Linked DNA regions of Astyanax mexicanus. The main gene of each other region encodes a partner of the protein of the gene in region 2 in a complex. Links are inferred from orthologs where the notes say so. Each region holds a gene or a part of one and is shown on either strand. Other genes may lie near its edges.

Region 1 (12,511 bases), about 26 Mb from region 2:
ATCACCCTGGTGTATCAGAACACTACTGAGGCTTCCTCAGTGGGTGGCATTAGCAGTTAGCCGCTAATGCTATTGCTAATGCTAATGCTGCTGCACTTTGCCATAGTGGAAATGTGGAAATTTAAGCTTACTGTAAATAAACAAAAGCACTTTACTCACCCAAATAAACAGTTTTTAGAAGAGAAATGTGTGTAGATTAACATCCAGCACTCGATTAACTTTAAAAATAATGCAAAATGCAGTTTTGTTTACTTAACTTAGCTTTAATTAACTTATTTACCTCGCCACAGTCTAGCAGTGAGACCTGCTGAATTAGAAGGGAAACATGGCGACACCTCTGTTCCTTACTAGTGTCACATATTGTGTGAGAATACGTATACCAAGTGTACACCGAGTTTTATACCAGTTATATCGATATCTGAATAATATCATATCGAACTAAATTTTAAAAATATATATTGTGATACAAATTTTATAATTGAAACGTAACCCCTATATCACCATACGCAACATATCAGCATGTTGTACGATAATAAAAGGGCTGCAGGTAGGGCTGGGGCGGTATTGATTTTTTATAACCGCGGTAAAAAACGCATCACCGCGATATTGCGGTTAACCGCGAGACCCCCCCCCCCCCCCCCAAAAAAAAACCCCACAAATTTATTGGTAACAAATCTTTATTCTTCAAACCATACAGCCTACATACAACCTCTACATAAACCATAAATACAGCATAACAAGTGAACATATGCTGCCTGTATAATTCGTCATTGTACAGCTAACCTGTCTTTTTCCGTGCAGACTTTTTGAAGGAGGAGCTTGTCCGCCTCCCCCTTCTCCATCCATAGATCTATTTTAGGGCTGGCCCAATAGCGGTTTTGAGCTCAGGATATTCGGCAGTAATTGTTAGCGAATATTCTAATATTCGTTTAAAAAAAAAAAGACGAATTAATCCACAGCAAAATTTTCCACTGACCCCCGGCCCCGAAAAAAATATATTTCTCACCCCTTTCCTCGGGCCGTTCGGGCTCAAGGCTCAAGAAGTCTGTGATAGGCGTCTGTTTTTTTTTTATTCACACTCTTCTTATTTCTCATTAAATATCTACTAGATACAGATTATATCTGTACAGTATCATTTATTTCACTTCCCTCCTGAATATTTGGAGTGCATTATGTCTCCTTATGTTGTGTAGTTATGTAGTTTTCACCCCAGAATTTCTGCTGCCTCACACCAGGCTTCGGCTGCATCGCAGGGCAGGAGCGCAGCTGCGTTACGGCTATTTCGTTTGAATTGTGCAGTGCAGAGTATTACAGATTTTGTATTTTTGCACTTGGGCTATTAGCTCAATATTAAATATTTCGTTTGTTTATAAATTATTTTATATTCTTAAACCATGTTAAATTATATTCGATTGGAGGAAATTAATTCAGACATCATTTCTTTTTTGTCCCGTTACCGTTCCGCAAAAAAAATCCTTCTTTTAATCCCGCATCAGCCCGCCACATACACAGTTTTGCCGCACCTGCCCCGCGGTCCTAAATAAATTTAATAAATTACATTTAGTGCTTAAAATTAAAAAAACATATTTATTAAAACCGCGCTGAATAGTGCGGTCACGTTTCTTACCACATTACAAAAAAAAATCGGTGTGTGTGTGCGCGTGTCGGTCCATTCTCCGCTCCTTTTTTGTGCTTAGGGTTTTTTTGTTGCGTGCATGAGAATCACTGCGTGATTATTACAATTTTCTTAACTATTTATTAATGTGCTCCCACATCCTCTGGATTGATTAAACTCCTGTTCCCGCCAATAACAATTCAGTTCTGTCTGTGCCGCAAGATATCCTGACGGGACCCGCGTCATATAATATGTTGATTAAAATGTCGTGACATTAAGAAATCGGCTCGCAAGAGACAACCGACCAAAAAAAAGACATTAGTTCCATTTTAAAATAATAGAAACCTGTCCTTTATGTTTGACAATTTTTGTTTCACTTTACTTGTCCTTACTCATCTGAAGTTTATTTATCTGAACTGAGTTTCATATGGTTATATTTGTAGCGGTTCTGAACTCAGTTCCGCGTGCTGTGAAAGAGACAAGGCGCAGCGCATTTTACCTCAGACTTGGTCAGATAACAACATTTCAGTAAAGATGGTGGTTATAGTTTTATATCATTGCTTTGCTGTTTGAACTACACTTCAACCAACCTTACTATTTTTACCAAGACTGAGGCGCAATGCCGCGCGTTCTCCGCGGTGCTCACGCAGAACAGCCAGCAGCCAGACAATGAATTAATATATTTTACTTTCTCAAAATGTGACCACGGAACACCTTACATGGCTCTATGGTTTACCTTGAGGTGGGTGAATTAGTTTGATGTGTTGGCGAGAGGTGCAGACACCACTTTCCGGCAAATCTTGCAGATGATTCTATTCTGTTCTGAGTCTTTTTCTTCCTTTTTTCTCAACTTACTGAGCCTGCCCTGTAGCTTCCATTTCCGAGCCAATATTAGTGCTGCTAATCTTCACTCTCTTCAGCAGCCTCAATGGAGACGAAGTGAGCAGGAGACTCCAGAGCTGTTCTGACCTCAATGAGTACCACGCACCGCGTTTTGCTTAACCCATTCGCTGCCGCGCCAGTGCAGCGGCAGCACAGATAAATGACAAAAAAATTTATATTCGATATTATGAATTTTGAGATCGTTTGACACCAATATCTATCGCGATCAAAATATATTTGATATATTGCACAGCCCTATAGTGTAGGACTTACACTTGACATATTAATACTGAATTCACCACAGTTGTGCTTATATGGAGCATTTTACTACCGCTCAAAACGCAGTCAATCAGATTTGACAGCCATAAAAAATGCGGTAATGACGGTAATGAGCTCATCACCGCGGTGACGTCCCATAACCGCGGTATTGCGGTAATAAAATTATCGTCACAGCCCTAGCTGCAGGTAACTGACCTTAATGTTGCAGGCCACAGCTTTCCCATCGTCTCCTTTATACATCAGCTTCATCCCTCTCAGAGTGTCCATGGCTTTGACGAAGCCGGTGTGGTCCTCGTACTGGATGTACCCTTCGAAGTTCAGATGGCCGCCAAACGAGAAGGTGTTGAAGTTCTTTCCGGTCATTTCCTCTCTGTAGGGATCCAGCATGGGGATATCTACGTTACGGATTTTACCGAAGTTCTCAAACACGATTTTAAGAACAGCTTCTGAAGGCCGGTCTGAAGAACTGTCCTTCAGGGCGAACCACTTGCACGGGAGTCCCTCCAGATGGATGGTGTCCGGACGCTCCCCGGGGACGGTCTCGTTCATGTCTTTGGCGTCTCTGAAGAAGGAGTCCCAGTCGTGGCGGGTGGGGAAGTCCACCTTGTTCTCCGCCGCTCGGACCTTCAGGATGTCGGTGAAGCCGCTCAGCTTGATGCTCTTTCCGTCCAGCTTCGCCACGAAACTCTTAACGATTCCCCGATTCTCCACCTCGCCCTCGAAGCGGATGAAGTCCATGGTGCTTTTGGAGATTCTCAGCGAGGAGAAGAGCTCCGGGTGAACCATGTTCTTCAGCCTCTCCATCACCTCCCAGTTGGAGATGGACTTGCCAGGCATCTTGAGCTGAGGCAGGGCCACGCTGATGGTCATCTTGGCGATGGGCTTCAGGTAGAGGTGGTACTCCTGACACAGATGCACAGCTTCCGTGGTGTCATGGATGATGGTGGTCATTTTGGAAGCAGCTGGAAGGTGAAGCAGAGGGAGTATGAATGAGGTGAATGGTGAAAATGACTAAAGACAGAAAAAGAAGTTGAAAGTATCTTCTTTTTGTTAATGTTTTATTTGTAATACATATATATTAATATATTTACACATTTTGGAGGGTTTAAAGGAATACTTAGCTAATACGAATCTTTGTTGGTTTACAGCAGGAGATGCTAGGCTAACACTGCTAACAAACCCTTTCTTTAGGATACCAAACATGCATTCATTGGTTGATGAACTGAATCTGGAGTTAATATCTCCAAAAGTTAACGCCTACATTACTTATCGAGTCTCTTCTCAGAGCTACATATTCCTTGTATTCCTGTTTTCTGTATTTCTTTCTTCTGGTAACATATTTTGTTTTGTGGATTGCTGCAGCTTTTAAAGTGTCTTATGGAAGTTGCTGTCACTATGATCCACAAAATCTCTCAACATTTTGATTGCACATTTAATTTTTTTTTGTGACTGATGAAATCATTTTGTGGCCCCTTACTGGAGCACAGGGATGTAAAGGTTCTCTATGGAGTGAATTTTGTGCCAAACGTTTTACGCAAAAAAATAAAATCCGCAATCAAAATCTTAAGAATCAAAAGAAAAAAGTGTATGGGGCAAAATCAAAAGAGAAAAATATATATACATTTACATATACATTATTTATTTATACATATACATATACATTTTTTTGTATTATTAGTATTATTGTCATTTTAAGGTTTATAAGTTTTATTTTATATTATATTGTTTTCTATTACATCTTATTTGAATGTTCCTTTTTATCTTTAATTTTACAGTTTTTTTCTCTCCATTTTTCCTTTTTTAATAGTGTTTTGATTGCCTTTTTCTATGTACAGCACTTTGAGCTGCATTTTAATGTATGAAAGGTGCTATATAAATAAAGCTTATTATTATTATTATTATTATTATTATTATATACATTTATAAAAAATACTTGGATACTTTATTATTCTTTCCAGACATTTGAATTTTGCCCGTCTCTGCTTAATTTTTGTAAAACCAGTAAAAACTGAGCCAAAACTCAGAAGCAAAAAAATGAAGCAGAATCAAACAAGAGATTCCACAAGCAAAAGTCTTTGACAGAAAAATCCACAAAATTCCACAAAAACACAGAGGAAAAAAAGGAAAAACGGAAAAATCCAAACTAATATTCTTATCAAAATAACTGCCAATAATAATAATAAAGTAAACCAAGTACATTTAAAAATATATATACTTGCTTATATACTTAATATACTTTTTGCAAACACTTTTGGCACAAAATTCACTTCATAGTTCTCCAATTCATTCACTGATAGAACTATGAATGGAAACATAAATCTGAACCCTTTAGATTTAGGTTACCTAGTTGAAAGCTTCTAAAAGCTTTAACACAGAAAATAATCACAGTAAATGGTGATAAATAAACTGGGAGATATCTGAAGCACTATTTTACCGGAGTTCTGAGAGGAATTTGGGGTCAAAACCGGTAACAGAGGAGGAGAAACAGCAGCCCGGTTGTTATTAACCTCTTACTCATGTAGCTAACAGATAGCTTAGCTTATGTAGCTACAGGTTAGATAGTAAATGAACCTTAGCGCTGTTTTACTAAAAAACACGTTTTTAATGAGATTTCTGAGCTTAAATGTGAAATATTTTATCAGATAAACACACAAACCTTAATCACAGATCCTGAATCTTCTCTGATAGAGTAAACAGAGAATCACTATTTACTGAATCCAGCTGCTGATTATCCTTTACTGATGCAATTACTAAACCATCAGAAACATTATTAACCAATAACCTACCGGAGACACCGCGCTGTCTGTCTCTCTGTCTCTCTCTCTCTGTCTGTCTGTCTCTCTGTTTTATTTTCTGTATTTTTACATCTTCAGGCCTGAAAGCGTCCCTCACACAGAGCCGCACAGTGAATCCAGCAGCAACCGACTACCGCCCGGCGCTCTGCTCACACACATTTCAAAATAAAAGCTCTATAACAATTAAATATCTATATTAATTATCTATACCGTCTGACATTTGTTTATACCAAAGACTGAAGTTGAAAAGAAAAAAAAATATTTTGCCATTAAAAATTGTATATTGTAAATATTTGTAAAAAAGAAAATGATAATAATAATATATTACATCTGGTAAGTAGTACTGTAAATAAACTGAGCTTTGAAAATTTATTTTAAACAATGTAAATTTACAAACCCTTATTCTGTAGTAAAGCAGTGCTGGTACAGATGGTGTTACTGCACTCTCTACTGCAGCCTTTACACACTTACACACAGCACTATTACTATTAAATTATTTTCTTATTGTTTATTAAACTGCTTTCTCATTATTTTAAAATAATAAGTCCTTAGATTAAGATATTAAGTCATTATTTTGCTATAGTTATTCCTTATTTTGATATAGTAAGTCCTTAATTTAAGATACTATCTCATTATTTTAAGATTCCAAGCCATATTCTTAGATAGTAAGTACTTATTTTGACTTACTATCTCAAAAATAATGAGATGAATTTCCTTAATAATAAAAAAAGAATGTGCTGTATTTTTTTTAGGTGACGGAAATGGGCTTCCATTACATTTACACTTTCATCATACTTAATGTTAATATAATAACAATAAACAGTGCTGAAAATAAATTAAATAAACATTGAATACAAAATGTACTACATTAATATAAATATACAAAAATACAATAATAAAAAATACCATGCTGTAAAATAAAAAAAACAGCCTGACGAACTAGATTCAGGGCACGTCCCATTAACTCAATACATAAAGGACTTTTATTATGGCAGGGGTCAGAAACGTTAAACGTGATAGCTTCTTTCACAAAGCCGAGCAGTAGCGCCATCAGGCGGTGTAGTGTTACAATACCTTCATTTATAATACATAACCTTTTCTTACTGCTATTATCCATCATAATAAAAATCATTATATATATATATATATACGATATTACATTTTTTTATTTCTATTTTGGTGCTTTTTTTAAAACACTAGAAAATTAATTACTACAAATGTACAGAATAATGTATAACTAAGCTGTAAACAGTATCTTATTCTATTGCACACTAACTAAAACAAATTCACACAAAAGGAGAAAATGTTCACTCTCAGTTTGTTTATATATTTGTTTTTTGTTTGTTTGTTTTTTTTAGTTTTTTGTAGTAATGAGCATTGATGTGTTTTATTTGTCTGAGGGCACAAGTGCATGTTGTGTTCTCTCTCTCTGTAATTAAACTCGAATAACACAAAAAAACACCATCATAACCATCATAATGGTGCATTAACTGCAGGCTGGCAGAAACTGGCACAGTTTCCTGGGGGATCTGTGCTGGAAATGATGTAACAGTGATGAGCTCACTGGTTTTATAGGTCACTGTTCACTCAATGTCCCACTAATGTTAACATAAAGCAAATTAAATAGTGTTAACAGATAAATAGATAAATAGAGATGTAGGACAGGACTGAAGAACACATACACTCAGCAGAAAATACAAAAATGAAGCTAAATCAGAGTTTAACATGTTTATTTTAGTACAGTTTGATTACAGATGAGCATGATGAGTATGGATTGGCATGGATTGGTGTTGCCATGTTGATTAAAATTGGAAAAATCATAACTGGCTTCACCCACCTTCTCCTTAACAATTCCTTCTTTTAAATATCTAAAAATATAGTTTTAATCATGTTTGAATCATGTTTTATTCTTATTTAATTTTGGTATCCATTTTATTTATATATATTTTTTTATTTGACTTCTCGGTGTATTTTCTAGTTTGTAAAGCACTTCAAATAACCGTTGTGTATAAAAGGTGCTATATAAATAAACTTTCCTTGCCTGACCATAAACAAAAGAAAAGTTTTTATATTATTATTGATATTCTCTAAAATAATTCTTTATGCAGTCATACACACTCCCCATATTTTACACTGAACTGTATGATTACACTGGGTCTCTGAACATTTGGTAGATCTGACTTTTTATTATTATTTATAAAATATTATATTTTATATATTATATATTTTTATTTGTATATATTGTACTGTTTATTTTATCTTTTCTTTTTTTACTGAGTGCCTTGCTATCCCTTTGCTGTTGTAATACTATGAATTTCCCCACTGTGGGACTAATAAAGGAATATCTTATCTTATCTTATCTAAATTAACATTTTAAGTTAAGTTAAGTCTTCCTCTTAGAAGAAAAACTAAACACTATGAATTAAAACAGATGTTTAGAGTTTCATCTTCTCAGACTCTCAGTTATCAGATGTGTGGAGGAGGATCAGGTAACTTCAGTCTAATAAATAATGAACACACTCCAGATGGCTGACTATTATCTACTCTGAGAAACGATCAATAATGAAATAATGATTCACTGATAAATTGATGAGAATAAAAAACACTGTTAAAGTGTGAAACTGAAGTTGTTCTTAAATAAAATTGTAGAAACAATTTCTATTCTATTTACTGAATTTATCACATAGAAAAAATAAGAAATTAATGAGTATATGTACATTTAATGTGCCAGCACTTTAGTATGTTTTAATATGTTTTAGTGTGTTAAAATTAATTGTGTAGCAAAATGAGAATGTAATGTATTTACACTTTATTTAACACAAAATCATCACATATTATTAGATTTGCTCATATAATTTCATTTCATATTACAGTATAATTTATTTATTATAATATAATTCCTATATACATTATTATAAGTTGATTCTTGCTGTGACTATTTTATATAAATACATTTATATGTAACAATAGTATAGTATAGTATAGTATAGTATAGTATAGTATAATACTTGTTTTAAGTAATGATATCAGTTGAATCCTCACCCACCCGTGAAAACTGTGCCAAAACTCAGAAGCAAAAAAAAATGTAATTCCAGGAGCAAAAGTCTTTATCCGCAAAAAATCCACAGCAAATTTAATTCTCTTTTGAATTTGCATCATATACTTTTTCCTTTTAATTCTTAAAAAAAAAAATGATAGCGGATTTTATTTTGTTTGCATAAATTTCTGGCAAAAAAATGTACTCTTTACAAATCATTGTAATATTACAGTCACATTATTCTATATGTTTTTTACAGAAATCTGAAAATAAGAAGATTAAATGATTATATGTGCAGTAATCTCATTTATTGTAGTACAGAATAAGCAGCACAAACACTGAGGAGGTGAAGTCTGAGTCTGATCCAGTTTCTCTTTTACAGGAGGATTAAATTCTGATCACATTCACAAAAGTAATGTTCCAAATAATCAACAAGATTCAGATTATAAAAATATATAAAAAGTGCATTACAAATAAGCATGTACAACATATTAAACATATTAACATATTAAAAGCAGGTGTGTAACAGTCATGATTGTGTTTCACATTTATGCATAAACGCACATCTAAAGCCACCAGTACCATTTTACACTTTACAATAAATGTTACATTAATTACAGTCCTTATAACAGAACATCTCAACTAATGATTAACTAACATTTAAATATAATTTACATACATTTTTCTTAAGTATTAACATTTTTGTAATGTCAAGTAATTTTTAATAATGCCTTAAGTAGTTTCAATTAAGAATTTGTTGAGATATTAATTTTAAACATTTAATTAGGCCTGTCACACAAAATATATATTTGTGTCTATATATTGTCCCATAAATAATTGCAATAAAGGACAATTTTATGCCACTGATATAACAATAATTGCATAGCATAAAATTACAATTACATGAATTGTAACAGTAATTAACTTTTTTAAAAGAAAATTTAGACATTCAGACTGACATGAAATATATATTTTAAAATATATAAAAAAAAACAATCATAAATAAAATGAAAGCACAGTTTGTGAAGTAAACATTTTGGCTATTCACATTAATGTGATTATTTTTTTTTGCTAAAAAAAGCATAATATAATGTGATATTAATATATATATATATATATATATATATATATATATATATATATATATATATATATATATATATTACTTTAGGAAGTGCTGTTAATTGATGTATCCTTATTGTAAAGTGTTTTTAAGCATCAGAACAGCAACATTAATCCAGTTAAGGACCGGAAGACGGAGGAGCAGTAAAGGCACACTGTTCACCATCAGAACACCCAAAACAGAACCGTGCAAAAACTACACCAGGTTTACAGCAGGCAGCGTGCATATTTTATATTTCACAACTTTATAGCATGAATGTGCTTCAGAAATTCACTAGCTAGCATCCCAGGTTAAAGGGAAATTCCACTGATTCACCTACATTCTTAATTCATGTTAAAAAGAGATAAAAAGAGCAGGATTTGGTGATTGTGATTGATTGTAGAGAAATATACTGACTCAGATTTCTTTACTTGTGGTGAATAAATGCAAGCATCCTTCTTCTATACCTACAACAGAAATATAGACATTTTTAATATGGAATGTTGAGAATAATTTAAATCCATTCACCACCATTCTCATTATTTTTTCCCAATTGTCAGAGAATTTTAACACTAAACCCACTCTGAAATAAAATACCTGTACTTCATCTACATCTTAACCATGTATTTAAACTGTGTATTTAAAATTCTACCTTAAAATATAGCAAAGTGTCAAATGCATTGGTCCAGTAGTGCTAATCCCTATTGGTCACATTTTCACAACATAGATTAAAGCTTTACTAATTTGTTTTTTAATTCGTTCTTGTTAAAGAGCCTAAGTGCTTGGATATCCAGGCATATCTGAGTGTTTAAGCCCATTAGCGAAACGGGGAGCTTAGTGCCGCGTGAATGCTTCAGGGGGTGAAACAATGCTACACTGTCCGACAGCACCTAAGAGGTAAAATTGGGACAGTTTCAGGAAAGGTCCTCGTTCAGAGACGTTCCTCTATTATCCAAAGAGGTTAGATACGGGTCTGGACTTGACCGGACTCTTCAGGGACCGGTTGCCCTCTTCTGTCTCTCTGAATGAGGTGCTGTGAACTATCTGAGTCCTTATCTTGCCTCTATTTAGCTTGATCCTGCCAATGGAAGCCTTGCGATACAGCGATTTTGGCTTGGCCTGGCCGTCAGACGCAGGTTCCTCCAGCGGGTTGAGAAGTCTCAATGGGTTAAGGTTGGACTGGAGAACTTTGGGAAGGCGCCACCATCCAGCACTGTACTCTACATTTTCAACACCCAAGTCAAAGTCCTTGCAAGCTCCTACAATATCCTGAATGTCCTTCGCCACCGAGGGATCGAGGTACTGGGAAGGCTTCTTCCCACTGTAGTCCCTCGCCTCAAGGTCCGCATTGTAGGCTCCAACCAGCAGCTTCATGACCTCTATGTGGTTGTGCATGGCTGCTAGGTGGAGAGGGGTGTACCCGGCACTGGAGCGGGCGTTCACGTTGACAGCGACAGAGTGCTGCTGGGCGAAGGTGACCAACATTGCGAGCAACTCGTGTTTTCCTTGCTTGGCAGCCCAATGCAGGCACGTGAAGCCGGTCACAAAGTCCTTCTTGGTGACAAGACTCGGCTCGCAATCCAGAAGACGCTGGAGACTGTCCCACTCCCCATCACTGGCACACATCATCCACTCATGCTCGAGAGGGTCTAGAGATACCAAAGCACAGTCCTCGTCCACAGAGGACAGAATAGAACCCGAATCCCCATCGCTCTTCAGAGATTCTCGTCTTCGGCTCATCATTTGACTTTGGGAGCTCCTGCGCAACAGGTTGCGCCTCACCTGTGGAGAACTGCTCATCATGATCTCCACAAAGCTCCTTCGGCTCCCTCTTGGTGTTCCTGTGCCAACTTCTGCGCCCAAACCTGAGGCACCTAGAGCGTCGACTTCGCTTACGCCATCGTCAAAGGAAGCAACCAGGCTTCGCTGCGACCCTCGAGAGGATCTGCGGCGGCTTGCCAGTTGAGCCGCAAGAGCTCCTTTACAATCCATGGATTCATGCTCCGCGTGATTGGCCAGTTTTCCAGAAGTGGAAGTAGGGCAGGTCGTGACCTCAGTTACATCATGCTCAGCTTCACATGCCTCTCTGGCATTCCCAGAACATTTTCCACAGTCCTTTCCTTTCTGTTCTTCCTGTGCCAAGTCAGAGCTGGTCACTTCAATCAGGGCAATGTCTGAAACACACAAGTCAGATACTGGTTCTGAGTCTGACACATCCATTCTTTTGTCTTCTTCTTCTTCTTTTTCTTTTTCATCATGAGCATCATCACCACCACCAGCATCATCAGCATCCCCACCCACAGCACTGAGCATCCTCTTATTCCCCTGACCATTAGTCTCCCGACCATGGCTGTCATCTTCATCTTCACACCTCAGATTATTATTCTCTGCATGACCCTCATCATGATCTGCATCCCTCATCCTCCTCTTCATCTCCCGGTACTTCTTCTTTAAGCACACCATCTTCTCTCCGTTCTCCTGCTTAACGTAGGCAATGTTATCCACAAACCGTTTGAAGGTCTCCCTGGCCACAGTCCTGTCCTTCCCTCCAGTGAGGAACTCTTTAAAATGCTCTGTCAGCTCCTTATTCCTCACACGCCCCCCTTTCTCCAGCAGGAACTCCAGCACAGACTCCTGGGTGCACTCCATCCTGCTGTTCTGAGATGTTTATAAACAGAGTAATGGATGCAGTTTGTGCTCCATCCCGTTTTTCCTCATCTAAAGTAGCGCAGCGGTTTAAACAGGAATAAATCAGGGGTAGAGATGCAGGCAGGGGTCGCAGTGTGTTCTGAGCTCAGGGT
Region 2 (11,873 bases):
GCTTCCGACTTTGGTCTACCTGGTATTGAAAGGCCTTTAAAACTAATGCGAGTCTCTTACCTTGATTCCTTTGGGGTCCTCTGCCTCTGCATCTGGTGAAGGGCAGGACTCCAGTGAGTTGTGGAGGTGGTCAATTGCCTCAGTGGTGGCGTTGCGGACAGCAAGCAGTCTGTTCTCAGTCATTCTCCCTCCATAGAAAGCCTGGTTCTCAGGATTCACTGGGGAGGATGTGGCAGAAGACTCATTACAATGGATTAACAAATTAGATCAGGAACAATGATAACAGACAGTCTATTCATGCTGTGAGAGATGAGATGTTCATGCCAAGGAGAGGGTAAAAAAAAAGAAGGGGATTACCTCCATACATCTGTGTGTAACCCTGACTGAGATGTAGTTCTAAGGAGCTGACAGAAGCTTTCTGCTGGAAAAGTACTGGTGCCTCTGCCAAAAGCCTTGTGCCTCCTGGTCGGCTGAAAGGGTTGGACTGATTTGAAATAGGTACAGGTTTCTGCTGTTGCTCACGGTCTGCATCCTGAGACTCTATAAACAGATACAAAAACATTAAATTTATGAATACACAATCCAGTAAAGTATTACATCCTTTTTCTTTTAGTTTTCAAATGTTACAGCATTCCAAGCTTAATCTGAAGCCTATTCTAGTGTTTAGTTTAGAATATTACCAGTTAGAGCAGAACTGGTCAGACTCAAAGCGTCCAGTGCCTCTTCCAGCTGCTTTACTTGACTCTTCAGTCGCTCTCCTTTATCGGGAAGTGCAGAAACGTTCACCGCTGAGAGGGTGGCCTAAACAATGGGCAAATATACAGGGAAAGGATAAGCTGATTAATACTACAAAGGCTTTGGAAATTGGTTGCTTTGATTTCAAACATTTTACATTAAGATCACACCTGCATATTCAGAAGATCAGAAGTTAATGTTAGTCTATTTACATGTCACGTGATTTCATATCCAGACAATTTGAGTATAAAATGTATGCTATCTACACTCAATTTGACATGAATGACAATGTTTTGATATGCATCAGCTTTGGTTTTCCCTTGTTACAAACAAGCTCTCATTCAGACACGGCTTCTCATGTTTAGCTGAGATGGTGCCAGAAACCACAAATATTTTGCTATATGTTAGACTTAATAATGAATAATTTAATAGCAACAGCTTATGTTTATATATATTTTTAAACATTTCCAAAAGGCTGCACACTACTGGAAACATTGCTTAACATTAATAATGCATATTAAAGGAGAAGTCCGGTGTGAAACGGACTTGGGTTGTAGTGAAACAGGATAACAAGTACAAACTTTACTTTGTACAGCATTCAGACATACAGTGCTTTGAACTGATGTTCCCAACAGACTATCCAATACTAGGGATAAGGGAATAGCGTTACCCATGAAAAAATATATATTTTCACACCATTAACAAGCTTAAAGTTACTTCAAACATTATTGGCAGAAATCCAAGAGCCCTGAGTCGACTTCTAAGCACAAACAAATAGGTAAGATAGGGGAACAGATTGCTAAATTAATTCTGAGGAAATGCATGAAGTCTAACTGTTGCTAAAAATATCTTTAGATTATTCATGCAATTCCACAGAGTTACTTCTGAAAACTGTCGCCTTCGTCAGTCGACATATGATGACTCAATGAAATGTTTCAATTAACTACCTTTGCGCTTTCAAACCTCTTTTTTTTGTCAGGGCCCTTAGAATTCTGTCAATGAAGTGTGAAGCTACCTTGAGCTGGTTAATGATGTAAAAATAGCCATTTCTTTGCATGGGCAATGCTTTGCCCCTATTGCTAACATTGTAAGCCTGTTGGGAGCATCGGCTAGAAGCGCTCTATTTTTGGAATGCTGGCAGGGAACAAAAGTGGGCTATTCGTCAAAAGTTTGTAGTCATTATCATTATATATATTATATATTTCACTGCACCTCAAGTCCATTACACACCAGAGTTTTCCTTAAATAGAGTAAAATTAATTATGCTGCACATATATAATCTGCCTCTGGTAATTGGGAATGCCTATGGGAAATGGGAAGTGTGGGAAATTTCAACACTGCACGGCCTGTGACGTGACTATCATGAATGTGCATGATGACCCAATATACCCAATATACAACAATACATTTCCAATATTTTAAGTTTACATTATTTGCAGCATCTGTCACGGACTGACATTCGTTACAGGAAGCACTACATGAACTGGCTAAATCATTGGGTTTGTAGGTAGAGGTATTTGTTGTGGCCATTCTAGGCAGTTTTTCCTTTGGTTTTTAAATTATTTACATCAATATCAGAACTAAAGTGTGTCAACAGGAGTTAGAACTATATTGTGATCTAAATTTTGGCCACACTGTCCAGCACTAATGTAAAAAGAATGAAAAGAAACCAGCTGAATTTTTTTGTAGTACATATGTCTTGAAAAGATTATATATTTAAACTGCATCCTGAAACACTCTTGAAACAGTGGTGAAATAGCAAACTGTCAGCAGTGCATCTTGATTGCATTTACATATAGCCTTTTTTTTATAGCTACTCAATCAGCCCAAGATGCATGGATTTGCTAAGCATAATTCATTTTGTCTGAAAAGGAAAACAACAGCAGACAAATAATGAAAAAAGATGCATTCATTAAAACAAAAGTTATGTAAACTGAAAAATGCAACAGTACCTTCTTCTGTTTAAGCTGGGATGTTAGTTGGCTGTGGAGAGCTCTGGGGTCTTCTTTACTCTTGACTTTTGAGGCAGGCTGGAAGCCAGCGTAGGATGTGAGGGTTTTCTGAACCTGTCTAGTTGGGGTTAGGGAGGCCTGTACAGGACCTGGCTGCACAGACACCAGCTGAACATCATTATCCTCATCACTAAACTCTCCAAAAGGAGAGTTAATAGAGCTCTTGCTCTTCTGAGTTTTCTCCTGACTCGGGTTAGATTCTGTAGCTTGGGTACCATTTGGAACTTCTAATGTAGAGTTTGGGTTGTCTGCTTTGGCAGGTTGTGGACTAGGCGTCTTTTTAGTGGAAGTTAGTAGCTGCGAGTCTACAGCTGATGTAACAGTTTCCTTAGAGGTGATGTTTTGCTTTACACAGTGTACGGCAGATGTTTTATGACGAATACCCTCAGCTTTTTGAGGAGGGGTTTGTTGGGAGACTTCTGACTGAACTGTTTGAACAGTGTCTGGGGCTGCTTCGACCCTTTCCTCTTTATTGTGGACCCCTTGGGCATATGATTTCAAGTTTTTCTCCATTTGTTGCTGCTTTATACTTTCAAACTTTTGGTTAGCGTTTGAAGCCTCAGTGTCCTTTGCTCCAGTAGCAGCCACTTCACCACTGCCACTGTTCTTCCTCTCCTCATCAGATGTTCGCTTTTTTATTTTCATTCCTGCAGGAAGTTGCTTATTTCTCCAAGACTCTTCAGGCTCTTGCTCTGCACAACTGGTGACTTCTCTATTTGAGACAGCTGTACTTTTAGAACCTCTCATGTTTTCTTGTGGCACTTCTCCTTTCACTGCTTTTCCTTCTTGAAGTTTTCTCCACTCTGAAGTTTGGTCTACTTTGCTAGGGGCTTTGAAGGGGTTTCTAACAGGAGGTAGACTTGAATGGTGATTCTTTTTGTCTGACAAGGGACTCCTTTCTGTATCTTTCTTTAAAAGAAGCAGAAAAAATATACCAAAGTTTTTTTTTTTTTTTTTTTACATTTCTTTGTTTGTGATTCTCTTGTTGTATTGGACAGTCAAGAATAAACACTCTACAACAACCAGCTGTAATAATGGATGGATTGAACTACATGGAGGACATTGGTTATTTTAAAAAGAAACTAACATCAGTAGGTAAGTTGCTTGGCTTACTGATGCTTCTTTTTCCATAACCAATAACCTCTCTGTAGTTAACTGCATCCATTACAGTTATACTAACTTAATTAAGCTTAAGCACAACTTAATAAGCAATAGTTACCTCTAACCATGGAATACTCCCACACCACTTCTGTCCCTCTTTCTTTCCTGTCACGCAGCGATACAATAACCTGATGGTTAAAAAATGATTTATCAAAATATTCGTTGCAAACCTTCCATCACAATATAAAAACACACAATTAAAAACACAACTTACTTGTAATTGTTCTGTTTTTCATTGTGAATTACAGCCTGAAGTTCGACCAATGCATCTTCATGGAGAAGGCAGTGAGAAGGTGGAACTCTTGACATTAGGAATAAACTCATATTAGCAAAGTACAGTATCTTCAAATAAACACCCAGTCTATAATACAAAGCCAAGGATACAAACCAATGACTTATGGCATTAAACATGTTCTTAAAAACATTCTGTCAAGTTGTGCTTTTTGTCTGTGCTGCACACACAAAAAAATTATGTGTTTTTCATGATAATAGTGTTCCTCTGATGCACCAAACAATTTGATCTTACTGTTATTATTTGCTTGAGATATACAAAATGATACAAATACACAGTGTTGTAGAAATGAAAATGAAAGGTGGGTCAATACCCACCTCTCGTCCGGGGTACAACTCCCCTGCGTGTTCGTTTGATAGAGAGAGTCAGACAGGTGGAGTGAAGTTGAAAGCAAACCAAGTATTTATTACAAAGTACTGGATCCAGGAGAACATACAAAACCAATTATTAGCTGTCTCAGTATAAGTTCTGACCCCCCTCTAATCTGACTCCATGTTTATACCCCAAATGACGTGAAACCTGCTGATGAGGCGTTGCTAAAATCATCTCATGTTAGCATGCGTAGTTTCACAGGTCTGACCGGACCACTAGTGTTTGGCCTTGACTGTATCCAGCCGGACAGTGTAGTATTGTTTCAAGAATTGACTGGGTCCAGTCAGACAGTGTGATATTGTTTCAGTAATCAGACAGTGCCGCCCTCCCTATGTGCGCGTGTCCTCCTCCCGCTTTGGTAGGTGAAGAACTTTGCACGCACAGAGAGAAAGGCCGCACTGTTCGTCCCGAAGTCTCCTTTGTATCAATTCAGTTCGTACAGAGTGCACTAGCTGATGATTGATGGCCGTTAGTCAGAAACATGCAGTGAATGAAATGCTTCAAGCATAAGCTACACACGTCACACAATGGATTCCATATATTATATGTTAATGTGTTAGTAGCGCGTGGTTAGTCCGCCATATAATAGGTCCTATGTGTTAGTAAACGTGTTATGTATCGTGTGGGTTAATTTGTCATAATAAAGTCTGTGTTAGACACATGCCTGATCAAACAATGTTTTACTATATATGTAAAGAATATATTGTGATTATTGGTTAATCTTCTATATAAATGCGTGTAAAATACACTGTGAGTAATAAAAATGATCAAATACAATGTGAGTATTGGCTATGCATATAGAATACAAGGTTCCACACAATGATTATGTAATTATAGATACTAAGATAAGTAATCATAATTGAAAGATATTTGTCAATACACTCAAGGTAAAATAAACAGTTACTCTTCAACAGTAATACAAAAGTGTACATAGCAAGACAACTTATATAAAGCATTTTAAAATATTTACAGTGTATTTACTTTAGAATAATGTAAATTACCATATAAACAGCTCTGGAAAATTTAAGAGACTACTTCAGTTTCTGAATCAGTTTCTCTGATTTTGCTATTTACAGGTTTATGTTTGAGTAAAATGAACATTGTTGTTTCATTTTATAAACTACAGATAGCAATTTCTCACAAATTCCATATAAAAATATGGTCATTTAGAACATATATTTGCAGAAAATGAGAAATGGCTGAAATAAGAAAATAGATGCAGAGCTTTCAGATAAGTCAGTACTCACTCGGCAGGCTGAGCGAAAGTGCAGGGTGTTTCGTCGCGGGCTGTACAAACGTAGAAACTCTTCCCTTTATTCGGCCCTTCCTTCACCCCGGTCTTCAACAAGCAGAACCCGCCTGAATTAAAAACACAGGGTTAAATAGGCTCAGCGGTTAAACCAGGCCTGCACAGTTCAGGCCTGCAGATGTTTCGGTTTGTTGGCTAGTTAATGTTAGCACTTTCAGAGCTAACGCTAAACTATACAGCAAAGCACTGGAGTGCGGCTACCGGCTAACTAACTAACTAACTACTTACCAGTTTATTCATAAAGTGAACTAACCCTAGTCACGTGCCGCTTACCGTGTTTATCACAGAGAACCCTCTGCATGGTGTAAAGTGGTGTAAACTGTAGCTCTGTGACGGAGCTAATGTAAGGAGCCCGCTCGCCGGTTAGTGTGTACTGCCTCCCCGTAACGTCCTGATGGCGTCACCTCCCCGCTCAGCCAACCGGGTCAGGAGACACCAGAGCTGCGCTTCCTCTCCTCACCACCAGGTGACACTCTTACCTCATACTGGAGACACTGGAAACCATCACACACCATCTGACCGAGTAAATTCATCATACACTATAAACACACTTCTACCTGCTTCACTGCTGGGTCCTCCATAAAGTCATTATTATGAAATACCAAGTCATTATTTTATATACAAAATCACTGTTTTGAGATATTAAATAATTATTTTTAAATGCTACATTTTTATTTTTATATACTAAGTCATTATTTTGAGATACCAAGTCATTATTTTGAGATACTCAGTCATTATTTTTAAATACTAAGTCATGATTTTGATATACTAAGTCCAAGTCATTTTTATGAAATACCAATCATTAATTTGGGATATTAAGTCATATTATGAGATACTATGTCTCTATTTTAATATACTTAGTTATTATTTTGAGATACCAAGTCATTATTTTGAGATACTAAGTCTCTATTTTAAAATATACTTAGTTATTATTTTGAGATACCAAATCATACCCCCAGACATAGTATCTCATAATTATAACTTACCGTATTGTATTTATGGCTTCTATCTCATAATTATAACTTACCATCTCGTAACTATGACTGTCTCCCTTATAATTATAACTTACCGTATTGTATTTTTGACTTTCTATCTAATAATTATAATTTACCATATTGTAAGTCTAACTTTCTATCTCATAATTACAACTAATAATCTCGTAATTATAACTTACTTTTTTCCAAGTGGCTGTAAATGCATTATGTCTTAAATTCAGACAGAATAATCAGACTTACATGAATGTTGGGCTGTACTGATTACATTCAATATCACAGTGTTATAGATACAGTACCAGTCAAAGTTTAGAAACACCTCTTCTTTCTTTTTATGATTTTTTCATTGTAAAATTTAATATTGAAGGCATAATAAAAAAAGAGTTCCTGGAGGTGCTGAAAAATAGTTGGCTGCTTTTTCTTCACGCTGTGAAGCTCCAGCTCATCCCAAAAGATTGTTTTCATGTCTTAAATATTCATCTAAAACATACAAAATAAAGTATTAAAAACATTGTACGGTATATCTCTAACTACAATAAAACTTGATTTAATAAAGTCATTGAGCACAATAGCAATATTACTAATATTACTATGTCCTTCATAGAAAGAAAAATGACTATGTATTTATTTTTAAACAATCTGAAGTAGCCAGTAAATTACATTTACATTTACATTTACATTTAGGGTATTTAGCAGACACCCTTATCCAGAGCGACTTACAACAGTGCTTCAATGTTACTTCAAATATCCAAAGCTAGTTTGTAGACTAGGATCAAGAGATACGCAGATCTTGATCATGTTTAGAACCCTAGGAACCTTTTTTTATTTTTTATTAGTTTAGGAAAGATGTGTCTTCAGTCGACGTTTGAAGACCGCAAAATTACATATTGGACATTGTGTTTAACTGTCAGTTCAAGGATATCCACAAAATAGAATTAACCAAGTTAGAAAACAAACCAGTTGGGTACACCATTTATTTTACCCTACTGTATTGTTTATTATATGTTTTAAGAGAGTAAGAAAGTGCTAATTTGCAAAACACATGTAAAGCCAGTGCTGTGCATAGAACAGATGGGAGAATATACTTTATACTCTATATTTGGGTCCATAATTATTTGGAATGTGTCATATGTTGAAATTGGGAACACATGAACACATGCTAATGGTTTAGACTGATATTATTCATCACTCCTTTGCAGCAGTTGATTGGCTTTAAATCAACACCTAAGATGCATGTCTGTGCTTTTGCATGTGACTGAACAAATTTTGAATAACATTTTAGTAGTATAGTTTTTAAACCCAGATAGCATACCCATGTGAAGGGCCCAATCAGGACCAGAAGTGGTTAAACATGGGTCTCATCTGGGTTATACACTGCACATGAGGCCTTGATGGGACCCATGTGAGAATAAGATGGCTGTAATGATGAGGCCCATTTATGAGGCCCAGCTGGGTTTAGCATCACAGGTGCAAACCCATTTAGAACCCATGCCCACCTGAAACCCACCTAGCCCCATGTTTCACTCATGTGAGCCCCATACGAAAATGTTGGCTGGGAAGTTATATTTAGTGAACAGGAATAATGCTAACTTACAGAGGACAGACTGGCTTGCAGTGATGGTGATGAAACAGTTGAGAAACAGTCGTGTTGTGGCCAGAAGGCCGCACACTCTTTTGCCCCCCTGCCTTACAGAGCTCTCGCCACACACACACACACACACACACACCCCAGATACAGTACACAGCCTTGGGGCCTGATGAGTGGAGCACACATCAGTGCACAGTGCAGTTTGAAACATCTACTGTGCCTCAATGAAGAGCAGGTTGTGTTTGGTTGATTTCCTGCCACTGATTCAGACTATGTTACACACTTTGGTCACGCACATGTAGCCCTCAGGTCAGGCCTCTGAACTGTTGTAAGATGCTTCTAAGTTAAAGTAGGACAGCAAGAACCCCCTGCTGTCACATCAGCATAAATATCACCTGAGGCTTGACAGTGTAGATGAGGTAATGTACGCTTATCAATACTTTGATATGCCTTTTTTTGTGCTGAGACAGACGTTTATCTGAGTCATAATCCTGTTATGGAAAGTGCCATTCGCTTACAGCACTTTTCTCCCCCTTTTACACACTGGCCTCAGATATTTCAATCAGGGTTTCCCCTGAGGTGCCACAGCGCACTGAGGGAGGGCTGAGGAGGAAAACACACTGCAGGGAAGTGTGAGTTCTAACTCTGAAGCACTATATGACTGACTAAACTAATCCTAGCTAGGGAAAAGAAGACATGGCCCAGGATATCAGTATTGAGATGTTATTTACTGCTATGCTATTCCATGAGGTAGACTGGACTGGGGTTTGATTCCCCCACAGGCAAATGTATTTTACCACACTGCACAAAAAAACCTTGGAAAAAATTCCAAATACTGCATTTTTCTGTTTCTGTAACATTAAACCCGATCTCTCTCTCTTTCTTTATGACTGTCTGCTAAGTTATGAAAAAGGTAAATAACAAATATAATGCCAATATAATGCGTAGCAGTGGACAGCATGAACAAATCCAGGATTTGAGTGAACATACAGACTTTTTGTAAAACAGTCTATATCTATATGTCTACATAAGAATTAGTGTAAATTAAATTACAAGAAAACATGTATCCAAAGTAAAGCTATGTCTAGATATTATAGTTACTGTTTCATTTTTAAAAGCTTAAGGCTAACTCTACATGTGTCCAAAGGTTTGTGGACATCCCCTCACAGTCAATACATTCAGCTACTTTAAATTGTATTGCTAATAGAATAGGCCCTTTTGGAGCATATAAATATGAATTTACTGGCCCCATGTGTAAAGTTTAGGCATTATTTCTGCTTATGTATTGAACTGTGAAACAGTGGAACTATGTTCTCTGCAATGATGGTGCTTCACCCAGTATTTTGGAATGAGGTGCCCACATCTTCAAAGTTTATGTCACTTAATGCAATTAGTTACTCACAGCAATGCTAGTCTAATTGAAAGACTTAGAGAGAGATACAGTAAAGAGTTACTCTAACTAAAGCAGATTTAACTCTTTTCTTAATCCTCCTGAAGAAACAGTGAATAAGCAGGAGACCTAAAACTGTTCTCCAGTTTGTGAGTGTTACTGCTGTTGGGTTTATGTGTGAAGGAGTGTAAGGACTGTACGGTGGGCTTCGCCAACAAAAAAGAGACAAACGTGTCCGAGGTAAGAGCAGAATCCCTAGTGTTTTTTTGTTTTTTTTAGTTCACAGTACACAGAAAAATATAAAGAAAAACTGTACAAAAATTAAAAGAAAAACTATACTTAAAAGATAAGAAAGTAAAGAAAGTCTATACTTTTCTATATGCAGTTTTTCTTTGTAATAAATAAAAAGCATAGATTAACTAGCTGTTCTAGTACCAAAACCACTTGTTGTTTTGTAAGGTTAATGAAAAATGAAAGACTGGTTTAAGCTGACAGAAATATTACAGTAATTTAAATAAACAGAAAAGCTTTTAAGAACACACAAAATGTCTAACTTTGGCTACAAATAACAAAGGCCACATGCAGTTTTAATAAATAGAAGCATAGGTTAACTAGCTGTTTTAGTACCAAAACCGTTTGTCGTTTTGTGAGGTTAATGAAAAAGGATAGACTTAAGATTAGATAAGCTGACAGTAATGGTACAGTAATTTAAATAAACAAAAGAGCATTTAGGAACACACAAAATGTCTAACTTTGGCTACAAAAAACAAAGGCCACATGCAGTTGTACCTAGTGTGCCTAATAAAGTGTAAATACATGTTGTTAGTGTCTACCACTGCTTACCATCAAAATAAAAATACACAGTGTCTAACACCGCCACCTGACCACACTTATATTGTGCTTTTCTGTAATGTATTCTCCACTTGATTACTTCTGCCCAGCAAATACAGCAGATATCTTGACACTGAGCTCATCACCATAATCGGCAATTGCAAAAGCCGCAACATTGTCATCCGTCAGCAGGATTAAGCTTGTGTTTCTTTTTGCTTAGGGCTTTTTCTTCTATTTAAGGGCCTTTTCTCATTAGAGGCTAAAACATTTGTGTGTGTGTGTGTGTATGTGTATAGTGTGCCTTTCTCTTTTTGCAGTCCCAGAGCACTGTAAAAAACCTACAAAACAGTCAGTAGGGAGGAGGGAGATATATATTTCTCTCCTTTCCAACAAATCTGATACAAGAAAACAAATTGAAAGGTCATCTTCTCGCAAGCCTAGGAAGGATCTGTGTCTTATGTCTCTCCTGAGCCCTCAAGAGTGCATTTTGTGTCAAAAATTGATTTGTTTGTAGCAACATGCCGAGTTTAACAAGCCTGAGCTCACCTTATGAATATCAATGAGATGTGCTATTGTAAAAATTCAGGCCTATTCTTACTCTTGGTTTCTGGACAGTTTACACATAATGATGATATGTTAAAGGTCTATTGACTCAGAAAGCATAAAATAAATAATGCCTGAGGAACGGATCAGCCTTGCAAAAATAACAAATAATAATGTAGTGGAAGAAAGGGAAAAATAATTAAAAGGGATGCAGGAAAGCAGTATCTACAAAGAGAAGGAAAAGAACTGAAACTGTATGTATTACACCATGCTTACACCTTGTCTATGTCTGTCTCTGTTCATGTCTTTTTAATTTAAGCAGCTACTTCCTAAGATGTGTATGTGTTTGCATATAACACTAGTGGTTTGTGTAAATTAGTAACATATGTAAGTGTGTAACGATACCTCATAACAAAGTACCTTTAAAATACCTTTAAACCTACATAGAAGTCATCAGCAGCTTGGATGATTATAGATTATAGACGTGACTGACATTCATGCACATTATCACAAACCCAATATGCAACACACGTACACTGAAGCAGACACAATGATTACCTTGACCACTTCTACGTATTATAGAGTACATGTGTGAACTAGCTCTCAATAAACAGCTTCTGATTGCCCATTTAGAAAACACTTGCGGAA

What was found.
Region 1: ttf2 (region 2) and akap17a share a complex: the UniProt entries of both Homo sapiens proteins name them as parts of the spliceosome. The link is inferred for Astyanax mexicanus from reciprocal best matches to the Homo sapiens genes TTF2 and AKAP17A.

What each region holds. Positions count from the first base shown.
Region 1 is NC_064418.1:637,790-650,300, reverse strand, and holds the start of akap17a (A-kinase anchor protein 17A), read right to left. Parts: upstream 5,734-12,511; 5' UTR 5,563-5,733; intron 3,739-5,562; 5' UTR 3,728-3,738; coding exon 2,972-3,727; intron 1-2,971. Other genes in the region: sowahca (ankyrin repeat domain-containing protein SOWAHC), read right to left, coding at 10,659-12,359. UniProt on the Homo sapiens protein: Splice factor regulating alternative splice site selection for certain mRNA precursors. Mediates regulation of pre-mRNA splicing in a PKA-dependent manner.
Region 2 is NC_064418.1:26,406,204-26,418,076, forward strand, and holds the start of ttf2 (transcription termination factor 2), read right to left. Parts: upstream 6,284-11,873; 5' UTR 6,183-6,283; coding exon 6,155-6,182; intron 5,932-6,154; coding exon 5,820-5,931; intron 4,210-5,819; coding exon 4,123-4,209; intron 4,037-4,122; coding exon 3,967-4,036; intron 3,657-3,966; coding exon 2,688-3,656; intron 802-2,687; coding exon 681-801; intron 541-680; coding exon 358-540; intron 219-357; coding exon 61-218; intron 1-60. UniProt on the Homo sapiens protein: DsDNA-dependent ATPase which acts as a transcription termination factor by coupling ATP hydrolysis with removal of RNA polymerase II from the DNA template. May contribute to mitotic transcription repression. May also be involved in pre-mRNA splicing.